2 linked regions of the Drosophila melanogaster genome follow. The gene in region 1 interacts genetically with each later gene. Each region holds a gene or a part of one and is shown in the gene's direction. Other genes may lie near its edges.

Evidence for each region. A genetic interaction does not mean that the proteins touch.
Region 2: of B52 (region 1) and E2f1, changing one suppresses a phenotype caused by changing the other (phenotypic suppression), as found in Drosophila melanogaster (one study listed by BioGRID).

What each region holds. Positions count from the first base shown.
Region 1 is NT_033777.3:13,659,501-13,667,334, forward strand, and holds B52 (B52), read left to right. Parts: upstream 1-1,810; 5' UTR 1,811-1,942; exon of another isoform or gene 1,943-2,201; 5' UTR 2,202-2,233; coding exon 2,234-2,359; intron 2,360-2,660; coding exon 2,661-2,731; intron 2,732-2,796; coding exon 2,797-2,904; intron 2,905-3,454; coding exon 3,455-3,551; coding exon of another isoform or gene 3,552-3,608; exon of another isoform or gene 3,609-3,954; coding exon of another isoform or gene 3,955-3,975; exon of another isoform or gene 3,976-5,952; coding exon 5,953-6,026; intron 6,027-6,089; coding exon 6,090-6,401; intron 6,402-6,583; coding exon 6,584-6,748; intron 6,749-6,855; coding exon of another isoform or gene 6,856-6,892; exon of another isoform or gene 6,893-6,918; coding exon 6,919-7,033; 3' UTR 7,034-7,391; downstream 7,392-7,834. Other genes in the region: Hrb87F (heterogeneous nuclear ribonucleoprotein at 87F), read right to left, coding at 1-148, 840-887. UniProt on the Drosophila melanogaster protein: Essential for development. May have a critical role in splicing or in controlling alternative splice site use of at least some pre-mRNA in vivo. Not required for all splicing. May play a general role in the condensation or decondensation of chromatin.
Region 2 is NT_033777.3:21,630,054-21,635,090, reverse strand, and holds the start of E2f1 (E2F transcription factor 1), read left to right. Parts: upstream 1-2,017; 5' UTR 2,018-2,167; exon of another isoform or gene 2,168-2,958; intron 2,959-5,037. UniProt on the Drosophila melanogaster protein: Transcriptional activator that binds to E2f sites. Required for wild-type growth in mitotic and polytene tissues, Contributes to the expression of replication genes at the G1-S transition and Cyclin E.

The sequences.
Region 1 (7,834 bases):
CGCGAGAGCGCTTCGTCTTGGGATCCTTCATCACCACCACGTCGACAATGTTGCCCCACTTCTCGAAGTGAGCCTTCAGGCCATCATCTGTGGTGCGGTAGTCCAGTCCGCCGATGAACAGTTTGCGCAGCTGCTCTGGCTCGGTGATCTGCGGGTGAATTTCAAATGCATTAGCTAAAGACGTTCTATAATTTAAATAATTTCTAAAAACAAAAAAAAAACCCATTGATTCGAAAATAAGTTGTAATATTAAATTAAATTAATTGATTTCTTTGGACAAACTTTGCGAAAAATGTATAAATTTATATAATAAAAAAAAAAATCATACTGTATCTAAATGAATAAATGTATAAAAAATATTTAAATGTATAATAAGTTGCTGTAAATTTAATAAAAAAATAAGTTGCTGTCAATAAGTCAATAAGTTTATGTCAATAAAACGATAAAAGTGCAAAATCATCCTTGATCAACAAGGATTTGCCATTGTTTATAATAGTAATTTACCTGGCGAGAAAAAGCCGCTCGCCATATTTTTTTTTTTTTTTTTTAGTATTTGCACCGCCATGACAGCCCGTATATGTGTATGTATGTATGAATTTTCGTTTTCTTTTTTATCAAACAGCCGGCAACTTTTTTATCGGAAATTGCTTATATTTCTCGCCAAAAGAGGTCGATAAACTTTTAGCTGGCTAAATTCGCACAGGGATCGATGGCCCCCATAATTCGGTAAAAAAGCGGCGTGAATGTATATTATACACGAATATTGTCGGCGTCGACATTTTGCACTTTCACGCGCGATGAACGATTTACAAACAGCAATTGGTCATTCTGCAACTCACCTCTTCACCATCGTCGTAGTTTCCGTTGGAATCGTTTTGTTCCGCCATTCTCTCCTTGGTTGTTCAAGAAGATGGAAAGTTTAAACACCGAACGCAGGAAATATTTTTTTTGTTTTTGTTCTTTTTTGACGGCAGACTGGCAATAAATGAAATGTACAGCACGCACAATGAGAATGGAGTGAGCAGTATGACCAGGTGTCGAGAACGGGGTAAAGTCGGAAAATCGGACGCCACGTGGAATCGGAACGATTGTTTCGGTGCGTTAGGGGTGTTCCTCGACAATTAAGCTGATGCCACACTTGATTTTATATATCTTCATATAAATTTGTATTCGTCTAGTAAGGGCTTAAAAATATTAGACAAGTTTATTGTATATATTTCTGAACAAACGGATTTGAATGTATTATCTTTATAAATGGATTATGATAATTACTACCACGATAACCCAAGAAACATTTAATATGTTTAACTTTTTAGCTAAATATGTATTATTATTAATACCGCTTACATAACTCTTTCTGCGAGCATTCGCTTTAGCTGGGGCGATGGAAGGCTTCACTTTAAGAGATAACTTGTAAATTATTTTGTATTGAATTGTATATTTGTAAGTAGCCAGCTAAGGGTCAATCAATATTACAATTACGGGATCTATGAGGCATTTGGGAATAAAAAAAGACATCGTGCGAAATAAATTAATAAATCCAGAAACATTTTATGTATATCATCAAATCAGAAACGTTAAAAAATGCTAATGAGTGCTTGCTAGCAGATATCAAAATAAAAAGGTTGTTAACAGTATATTCAAATGCTACTACTAAGTATATTTAATGTTTATTCTTTTCATAGCGGAACACGAACAGCAACTGGAATACCCTTAACGCAGCGAAACGCATTGCCCGCCCAAAATATCGATAGGCGAAAAAGTATCGTTCCATTCCGCCTTTGGAATGACTGTCAAACATCGCTTTCGTCTGTCACTTTCACTTCCGTTTGTGTCGAGTCGCTTGCGTTTTTTCGTGTGGGAAAGCCTGAAAAAGAGAGAGTACGGCAGCGACTTAATTGTAAATTTGCCACAAATATCCTTCACTGAACGGTACGTGCTAGTGAGTACGCTTAAGTGAAGAACAGCGCGTATTTCGCGTTGTTAAATTAACTCGTTTTTGCAGCGGTTCTGTACACCCGGTACATTGCGAGCGTGTGTGTGTGTATGTGGTGGCCGCCATCTTGGCGAAACATACACGGCGCGTACATATGTGCGTTTTTTTTTTCTTCCATTCCTAAAGGACAGTCGAGCAAAATAGAAGCTGCAAACTGCAACGGTTCCCTTGCTGATATATATATATATACTTCACTATTTTATAGCACCTGCTCCAGATACGTAAGGAACCGTTATCATGGTGGGATCTCGAGTGTATGTGGGCGGTCTGCCCTACGGAGTGCGCGAGCGCGATTTGGAGCGCTTTTTCAAAGGCTACGGCCGCACACGCGACATCCTCATCAAAAATGGCTACGGCTTTGTGGTGAGTACAAAATATCATATTTAACTGGAATATGTAAAAAAAAAAAATCGGTTAAATTTGATTTGAAGACATTTCTGCATTTCTCTGTTTGTCTATAGGTTTCCTAACATTTCAAGCCGACCCTTGAATACTTTTTTTTTCTTTTTGAACCTATATTTGTTCCATCATTTGTCTGTCAAATACAGTGACGCTTAAAAACTGTTCTTAAATTCACCCAGCGTATTTCCATAAGAGTATGCACAGGCAGGGTAGCTTCAATACTAATTCCATAATCAATACTAATCACTAATTGAATTTTCAGGAATTCGAAGACTATCGTGATGCCGACGATGCCGTCTATGAACTGAATGGCAAAGAGCTGCTTGGCGAACGGTGAGTTGTTAGATATAAGCCAAAGTACGAAATGACTCACGATTGTATGTTCTATATTTTTGCAGTGTGGTTGTTGAACCCGCCAGGGGTACCGCTCGTGGCAGCAACCGCGACCGCTACGACGATCGATATGGTGGTCGGCGGGGGGGCGGGGGCGGTCGTTACAACGAAAAGTAAGTAGTACTGCCAGCGGACCTTAAAACCGGACCAAAGTAGCGACGATATCGTCCTCCAACTTTGTTTGCGTTGAAGTTTGCCCTAGAATTAGCACTGCCAATTTGTTTCGTTTGATATCTCCATCCACACAGATGCAACCAGCTTAGATCGTGCAAAATCTATATACCTATAATATTAGCTACTTGCGATATATATAAAAAACATCAGTTTATTATATATTGACTTCTATAGTTTTATACACTTTTGGTAGTGCAATCGTATAAGCTGATTTCTTCTGCGTGGAAGGGAACCAAAAGACACTGACTTGCTGTTAATATTATCATTTCCAAGACGCTCCGTTTTCCTATGCATACTATTGTTGCTTTTATTTGCACGTTCCACCCATCCGCATAGTATGTAAAATGTTTGATTTGTTGCGCATAACCCAAATGTAAATATGCATATGCTGGAATATATTCACCATTACCGTTAATTTTTGTGATGGAGCATCAGGAGCAGCAGCGCAGTGTCAATACTAATTAGCGAATCCATTCAATTATTCACCAGAAACAAAAATTCCAGATCATCCTCTCGTTATGGCCCACCGTTGCGCACTGAGTACCGACTGATTGTGGAGAATTTGTCTAGCCGCGTTAGCTGGCAGGTAAGTGAGCATGGATCGATGTATCGCGCCTTGGGCGTGGTATATACTGTAGCTTAGATTCGAGGAGTGTAGTACTAGAATTAAAACGGCTAACCGACTGAAATGGATCACTATTACAAACACCCATTAATCAACTTACCCATCCCAGAACCAACCTTTTCGAGCCCCTTTTTGATTTCGAATTACTTTCCGGTGTCTTCGTCCTGTTTTGTGTTTTAACTCCTCCTCCACTCTGACTAGAGCCAATTCTATAATCTGTAATCTAGCCCTAAGCTGTACAGTTGACCTAGACTTAAGTGAAACACGAAAACAAAAGATATTGCTAAAACCCTGGTACTGATCGGTGTAATCTACCCACCATTACTTTCTCTTGCACACACCAACCGAAACCGATAATAAAAAGAGTTTGATGTGCTTTGACTGAGAGATTCCCTCCTCGGCTTGGGGCCGAATCTAAAACTGAAAGAGAATCAAATCTAATTGAATCGCTGTGAGAAAGACAAGCTAGTCTAGTGACCGACCGACCGGTTCAGAATGTTACCCAAAAACCAAGATGCGGTGGAAGACAGAGTGAGACAGTACCCAGAGCCGCCCCAGATTGGTTTCGATATGCGAACTACGATCTGCAACCTACGACCGACCTCCACGAAGCGCCATCGCCGCCGCCTCATCCATTCGTCGTCTATTCCAAATAAAACATAATATAGAACACATAACGAAATGAACAAGTCGATCAGAATCGAACCCAAAACTGAATGCAAAATCGAAATCAGAAAGCAGACGATGACGATGGACGTTGATGAGCTGCCCGGGTCAAAAGGCCAGCCCACGTATTAAAGCCCACACTGATTGAAAAGACGTGGGCTGGCCTCTTGCGTTAGGTATTTAACTCTCTGCTAAAAACATTCACAATTTTAATTACCAACAATATTATATAAAGAATTGTCAAATTCCTTATAGCCATTGTGAGTGTGATGAGGGTGCGAATCGAATCAATCGAGTGTGGTTAGATGAGAAGCTTGCGTTCGCTAATTCTAAGATGATGTGATGGTCTTGGCGACGATGAGGGATGAGCATATGACGATGATCGATCGATGACGATGACACGATGCTGCGATGCTGGTCGCGCGTTCAGTTACCAACTTCGGCTAGTGCCTCCGAACTTATTCCTTCCCCCCATTCCCGGTTCTTCTGGCTTCCGGCTGCGGCTCTGGCTTATGGCTGCGGCTCCGGCAAACGGCATACGGCTACCTGCCCCGTCTCCGGCTGAGACTACCGACTAGACAACCACCAACCCAACCCGTTGGAGAAGCGAGAGCAGCGTCCCGAAACGTATTTCTTATTTTTGCAGTTCGTTTGTGCGTGAGGTGCCGATGCCGCTGGTTGTTGTCCGCCTCTGACCGGCAAACTGCTCCAAATGCTCCATTCTCTGGCTCTCTGGTGCGGTGGTTCTGGCCAGCGATGTCTGCTCTGATCTGATCTGACCTCCTCCTGACTGTATCCGGTGTGTGGCTTCCTCCGAAACGAAACGAAAACAGCTACCGCAACACTTGAATACCTTTTTGCCATTTATAATATGATTCTGTTGTACATGAAAAACATAACAAAACTGTGTACTTGGTGGTACGTACGTGGCCAAATGAAAACGAATACCAAATCCAAACAAACAAAACGTAACGAGCTCTGGCCATCCATCCGCTCATCCGCCTGCCTGGCCACTGGTTCTCTTCTGGCTGACTGGTTGAGTTAACGATGTTCGATCGGACTTTCGATGAGGTCATGAGGTGTCCTTGGTGTCATTGGCCCACAGTTACTAGGCAGACAATCTAAACTCTCGGTGTAGAAACGATGTGTGTGTCCTCCTCTCTCTGAAAGCGCATTAAGTAAGAATTCAATTACAACTATTTTGTTAACTTTAATTTATTTCCAAACCAAATCAACTCAATCTATATATATATATATATATCTACTATCAATTGCCAACCACTGTTAACTATGATTGTTTACGCTTAAGTTTTGTGCCGCGTGCAGCGTGGAGTGTTTGAATGTTGTGTTCGGTACGTTCTGGGCACCTCCTCCTTCTTTTTTCCTGGCCAAGCGAAATCCTTCGTCCGGAGTGAGGTTCTCGGTTTCCACACGTAGGCAGGCGCGACAAGAGCACAGGATAGACGAACACAGGGCACTGAGTGAGAGAGAGAGAGGGACTTGTGAGAGGCTGGGACTTGGTTAGGAGCCCCAAATAATACCGAAAACATTCAAAATGCTCCATCTGCTGCACGGGCTGTCCTTTGAGTTGCAACCACTGCCGTCGGATGTGCGATGTCGAAATGTGCGAGACATCTGCCAAAGCTGAAACTTACTAATTACTATCTTTTCGTTCCGACTTTGTGCGTCCCTGCAGGATCTCAAGGATTACATGCGCCAGGCTGGCGAGGTCACCTATGCCGATGCCCACAAGCAGCGTCGCAATGAGGGGTATGTTTGAAAATGGTTGAAATTATTTTACATACAACCAACTACAATTGTGTTCCTTTGCAGCGTGGTTGAGTTCGCCTCGTTGTCGGACATGAAGACGGCCATTGAGAAGTTGGATGACACCGAGCTAAACGGCAGGCGGATCCACTTGGTCGAGGATCGTCGCGGAGGACGCAGCGGTGGTGGCGGCGGCAGCGGACGTGGACGCTCCCGTTCGTCCAGCTCCCGATCGCGCTCCCGATCCCGCAGGCGTTCTCGCTCTCGCCGCTCGTCGCACTCGCGCTCCAAGTCTCGCAGCCGCTCCAAATCTCGTGGCGGACGCTCCAAGTCCAAGTCGCCAGTCAAGTCTCGTTCTCGCTCCCGCTCGCGATCCAAGTAAGTAGAGAGAGAATAAAGTCTGGTAGGGATCGTACTTAATCACAAATTCTTTGTGATATATGCTTTAATATTAATATTATATAGATTTTACACGATAGAAAATATTAATTACGATCCTCCCTGGCTTTTTACTTCATATGATTGCCCACTAATTAATTACTTCACTACTTCCGCTGCAGCAAATCGCGTGACGTGTCCAAGTCCAAGTCAAAGTCCCACTCCCGCACCCGCTCCCGTTCGCCCAAACGTGAGCGTGACTCCCGTTCCCGATCGCGGTCCGTCTCGAAGCGCGAGTCCCGTTCCCGCTCACGTTCCAAGTCCATCCACCGCGACTCCCGTTCACGGTAAGTTTGGCCACAGTGCGATGACCATGGCTCCATATTATTATAGACCGTTCACGATTCTTTCTTTCGTGCTTTCTTTGGTTTTGTTTGGATGCACCTGTTTGTAGCCCGCCAACGGTGGTCGTTCAAAAGCTCGTTCTATAGTTCACTACAATGCCTTTCTTTTGCAGCGATCGATCCGCATCGGCTGAAAACAAGTCGCGTTCGCGCTCACGCTCCCGTTCGGCCTCGCCCAAAAATGGAAACGCCTCACCGGACCGCAATAACGAGAGCATGGACGATTAGATTAGTTAGCTGTCCCATTAATATTAAAACACTTGATTTTAGACTTCTACTATAACTATTCTACAAACATCAACACTCAGACACCCCGACTACAACCAAAACTTAATGAATATGAAATCATACCAATCCACCACTGTCGGGCCTCGTCATTTTCTTTTAAATATATAACGACAATTTGTCCTAAGTCTTGTTGTGGACATGGGACATTGGCTGGAAGATGACAGGGATCGGCTGAATGTGCCGATTTGGATTCAAGGAGTACATATAGGCCACGAAATTACTGCGACTTGTACACCGGAACACTTAAAATTGTCTATACAATGAGTAATTTCAATAAATACGGATAAATTTAAACTATAAATGTTTGCTCGCTGGTTTCACTTCAAAAAGGATATAAAGTACTTCGACGATTTTAATCATATAAAGTTAGTTTATTGTTTTTCTTTTTTGTTGTCGTAATTTCGGAATATAAGTATATTACAAAGTCTTAGTTTCACTATTTCGCATTATTTGCCTGAATTAAAATTACAATTTCATTTGATTTTATTTATCTTGAATTTGAAGAACGCCAATGATAATTTTGACACCTCATTGGCTGAAATATATCCTAGTTAAATATTTAAAATTTGAAAATGAATTAGCAATCTAAAATCAAATGCATAACTAAGTTTTATAAACTGACAAAGTTTTGGTTCTAACAATATATATCGTTTGTGTTTTGCTTTTAAAGTAATTACTTGTACGAATTAAGTACACTATTATATACAAAGCACATAGGGATAAAAGAGATTTTTTCTTTCC
Region 2 (5,037 bases), 8.0 Mb from region 1:
CACTCGCACACGCATTTCCAGTTAATTAAAAGTATTTATGACACTGCGCACATAAAATGTCTTCCAAAGTACAAAAGTCCACCCAAGGATCGTGGGAAGTTCCCGCTTGCGCTCTTCTATCTGGTAGGCGAAAAAAAAAAACCATCTTGCAGAAAATGGTTGAAAAAAAATCAAGCATAGAGATACTCTAATTGCATATGTGTTGGGCAAGGGATGGGAAGGGGGAAGGGGCAGGCGCAGGGGCCAAAGTTCTTCCTCTCTTTCTGCGTCCGTGAGGGGTGATTCTCGCCCCTCTTCTTCATATTCGTATTCTCATTCTTCTTCTTCTTCTTCTTGTCTGCCGGTCTGGCTTATGGGAAATGTGAAAAAAATCACACTCACGGATCTGTGAGTGTCCTCGCCTCAGCAACCCACCCAAGAGAAACCCAAAGGATAACAGCCTCGAATCCAAAAAAAAAAACTGCCTAAAAAGTTAATAGAAATCGAAAACTGGAAAGGAGATTACATTTCTGGTAGGAGGGGGGGGGGATGTTTCTCAGTTACTGGGCTTGGGATTATGGGAATGGGAAACACTGCGCAGATCGCCTGGCAAGTTGTACTGATTTGCGAGATACATTTGTGCACACAAAACCAGGAATGCAAATGGCAGCGGGCATGAGTTGTAAATATTTAATCAGATTGTTGTTAGAAAAAGTGACATGGTAGCGATTTTGGGATATTTATGAGTACAAACTTTGCATTATTCCAGAATGTATGAGTATTGTTTGTTTAGTAGAAAGTGCTTTTGCACTAAAGTAGATTAATAGTGGAATAACAAATAATATAAGAATGGAAAGTCAAATGTTTGAGCAGGTTTCTTTAATCAGGTCAGTTGCTCAGCAAATAGGTGAATTTTTACACTTCAGTTAGTATTTACTTAATTAAATACTAACTTTTCTCTATAAAGTTGCAAATCTTTAAGGTATATTATATGATTAAGCTGTGAGCTGTGAGATGAGCATACTTGGCTTTAATCTCAGGCATAATTTTTATGATACGTAGAAATTAATAGATTTGTGTGCGACAGTGTCGAGTTATGCGATAGACCCATTTAATGCCTATTTCCGGCCTTAAAAAGTGTACCCCTTGTTGATGGGGCGCTGAAAATCGGCAACGCTGCTGTGCTGCTGCAACTACAACAATGTCGTCACTGCAACGCAATGCAACACTTGGCACACAACTGATAAAGATAAAGAAGATGGTGAAGCGGTTGGTTGAGCGGGAGGGGAAAGGTTCTCTGCCGGCGTCGCTGTTGATGTGGGTGCGGTAACAGCGACGTCGCCACTTCCGTCTGAGCGATTTTTAGCCGATTTGTAGCCGGCAAGCCGAAGAGAGCGAAAAGGGTTGGGGGCCAAAAGCAAAAGCCGCTCTCACCGAACATTCGAGTCTGGCTTCCACATGCCACATGTGAAGAGTAGGAAGCGGCGCCACTCACATTCCACCCTCTTGCGCTTTCGCTTTCCGCCCCCTTCTCCACATTCGTTCTCTCTCGTGCTCAGCTGTTGCCGCTAATTCGCTGCAATTAGCGTGGTTCTCTTAGCTTCAAGCATTAGTTTTTATATCAACAGAATTTTAAAATTAAAAACTTCAAATAAAACTTGGACCAAAGATTTAATTAAAAGCTGATATTAGGTAAAATAATGTAGCATTTAAAAAACAATTCAGGAAGTGATTAACAGCGCTGTTATAGGTATTTAACTTCGCTTATAAATAATTATATTTTTCTTTTAACACTCAAATGTATTTATTCATTGCAAAATATTAATAACCCAAAATATTCGTTCCCTTTTGAATTGACAACCTATCGTAATATCGAATAGCTATCGTTTGATCAGTTTTGTCTCCACTCAATTTACGATCCACTCTCTTCTGCTCTCACTCTCTCGTGCCGCGAGCGCTCAGCTGCTGACGCCTCAAATTCGCCGCTACAAGAGACGCCGTGCGTTTTGTGGCTCGTTGCTTGTTCTGTCGATTCGCCGCGTTCAGTGTTGTTGTCGCGTCGTGACGCTGCTGTTGCCGCTGCCGCCCCCACACACATGTGCGAGCAGAAAACACGTTACGAGGGGAAAATCGACGGAAAAATCCGAAAAAAAATAGAAAAGCTAACTGAAAAGAGTACAAGACTGAGGTATTGATAAGTTAATGTGGTTTAATACACTAATTAAGCGTAAGTGGCCGGTATTAAAAGTGCCATTACGGTGGTGCTTACGTTTTCTCCGTCTGACGTAAGACGACTCCCTCTCTCGCTCTCTCTCTCTATCTCGTGTCTCTCCGATTCTCTTTCTCCGCGTGTGGATTGCGTTTTGCCGGCGACGGCGACTCCAAAAAAGACACGGCACAACACACTTTGTGGCCCAAGTTCAGTTCGCTTTTCGTCGCCAGTCCGCAAAAATGTGAAAATGGAAAACTGAGAGAAAAACCAAAAAGCCGCAAAAGACTGCCTCTGCAAGTAAAAGATTCAAGTCGCTGAGTAGCAATAGCAAATGCTCTAAAAAATCAAGAATAAAATAAAATAAAAGTGCGGGCGTGTAACAATTATGTGATATCTACAACAAATGCTCGAACTGCTGACGTCACGCACAGAATCGTAGAATATATAGAGAATAAAGAAGAGAAACGAAAACGTCGCGTAGTAAAGTTAAAAGTTCCCACACCACCGACGTACTCACACTCGCACACACACAGACTGAGTCAAACGAGTAAGAAGCAGCAGCACATTATACGTGGAATACAAAAAGTAACCGACAGAAAAGGCAAAACGCCCGCAAAAAAATGAAAAATTTGCAAATATGAAACGTGTGTGATATTCAAAAAGAGCAAGAAGAAGCAGGCGGCGGTGGAAAAAAAAGCAGAGCAATTTGTTGTGGTTGCGTGTGATATATAGAAAGCAAGTAAAACCAACAAAAATTCCATTTTTAGGTGCGTATTCAAACAAGACAAAAAAAAAGAAGCAAAGGGAGTTTCCACCTCACCTTTGATGATCAATTAATCATTCAATTTTGGGCTAAGCCCTCTAATAACCTCCAAAACCGATACGGTGAATAGCAGTCATTCGCTCACTCATTCAATCCCCCAACGCTCCAGTTTTCAGAGATAACGAATCGAAAATTCGGAGTCCATCAGTTTTTATTTCTATTTGCCCAAAGTCGGCGGCGATTTCTTTATGGCGCCCCCCAGATTAACATTTTACTAGATGTTAAGACAACAGTGCAGGTAACAGTTTGAAGAACTCGTGGTTTTTCTTCGAAGATATGGACAAAAATACATTTCAAGTTAAAATTAATTGTGTAAAACCGTCCAGCACAATATTAGCCAACTAACTGGCGTTTTTGTGTTGACGTGGATACTGAGGAATGCAAAATTAAAGCTGCACTGCAGTCATAAATATCAACTGAAATGTTCAATAGACATGTAATAATTAGGTAATGTGTTTGTTTTACAAATTAAAGTGATCTAAATGTTTTAAAATCTCAGATCATTTGTCTCTTTAATATTTTCTGTGGTCTTGAATTTGCCGGTTACTTCTACCAGTTTCGTCGGGTTAATTGGACTTGCATCAACAGTTTTCCGCTTTAATCTGTGCATGTACTTGACGACTGCACCACATAGTGTGTACATTATGTGTGGCCCCTGTTATCAGGCCTTGTGAGTACACAATATTCGATTGGCTCTAAATGCGTCATCGCGTAAATGGCCAGGCGAAATGAAGTTTTGTACATTATGTACAAAATTTTGGTGTATGAAACGCAAAGGGGACTTCCCTGGAATTCATTCTGCTTTCCTTGCCGGCATTGATATTCCACACCCACGCAATAATTTTTCCTTTCCCGGGCTTTCATTATGTTTGCAGTTTTCTGTGGGCGAAATATTTTGCGACGCATTTTGTGCGCCTCTCCCTGGACAAAAAGCCGCCTTCTCTTTTACTCGTTCTCTTTTTCTTGACTTGGCCAGTTGGCAATTATTTTTGGCTTTCTCAAACGAAAAAAGCTAAGGCGAGGCTTACAGCCGTTTTATTTTATATTACTATTACCTTATTTCATTTCTGTAAGTGTGCAATTAAGTGGCTGCCTTCTGTCTCGGTCCTTGCGGTTCATAAGAAAGAAGCCAAGTGTGTGTAATTGACCAAATGAAATAAAGATGATAGAGAAAATAAAACCGGCTAGAAAAAAGCATCCATGGGACCAACAACAACAAAAAGATGAAGAGAGATGTTCCATGTGGATTGTGTCTGTGAGTAACAGCTGTTATTCGGATTCAGGCCGGCTTTTACTCTCAGTCTCTTTTCCCTAGCAGCATCCCCCTCCAACACACACACACACCGTGGGAGACTCTCTCTTTCTCTCTCTGGACTGCCGCTTAATACACAAAATTCGTGTTCTTCCTCTTTTTCTGGCTTTTGATTCACTTTTTTCCCTCTATTGCAATTGTTGTTGCTTAACACCTTGCACACTCGCACATTATTTATTTGTATTTATTTCACTTGTCCCTGCCTTTTTACTGCGCATGCAAAATGATGTGCAAAAAGAAAGCGAAACTTTTTATTAGCTCTTGGTATCTGTGTGGGTGTTAGTGAGCATGCATGTACATACATATGTATGTTTTCGTGTGCTTGTGCTTATGCCTGTGTGTGCGTGAGTCTGCATACATAACAACGTATATAATTAATAGCCATGTAAATGCATGATCTTCATAATTAATAACGGTAAATTGGCATGCCAGAGGAATACAGTTATGGCTGCAAATTAAATACCAGCCATTAGTTGCATTCGAATTGGGATTTTAGCTAATATTTTATTAATTAGTGAATTGAGATTTCATGTCTGCAATTGGGCATATTTATTATTCGGGGGCAGACTAAATTTAAGTTATAAAGAGTAAAGATCCGTTAATTTAACAATCTTCACTACACCTTGCGGCCGGTTATTGTTGCTATACTAATTCGAAATTAACACGGAGAACGTGAGAGCAGAGTAGTGGCAGTGAAAAGGTGAAGGGAGG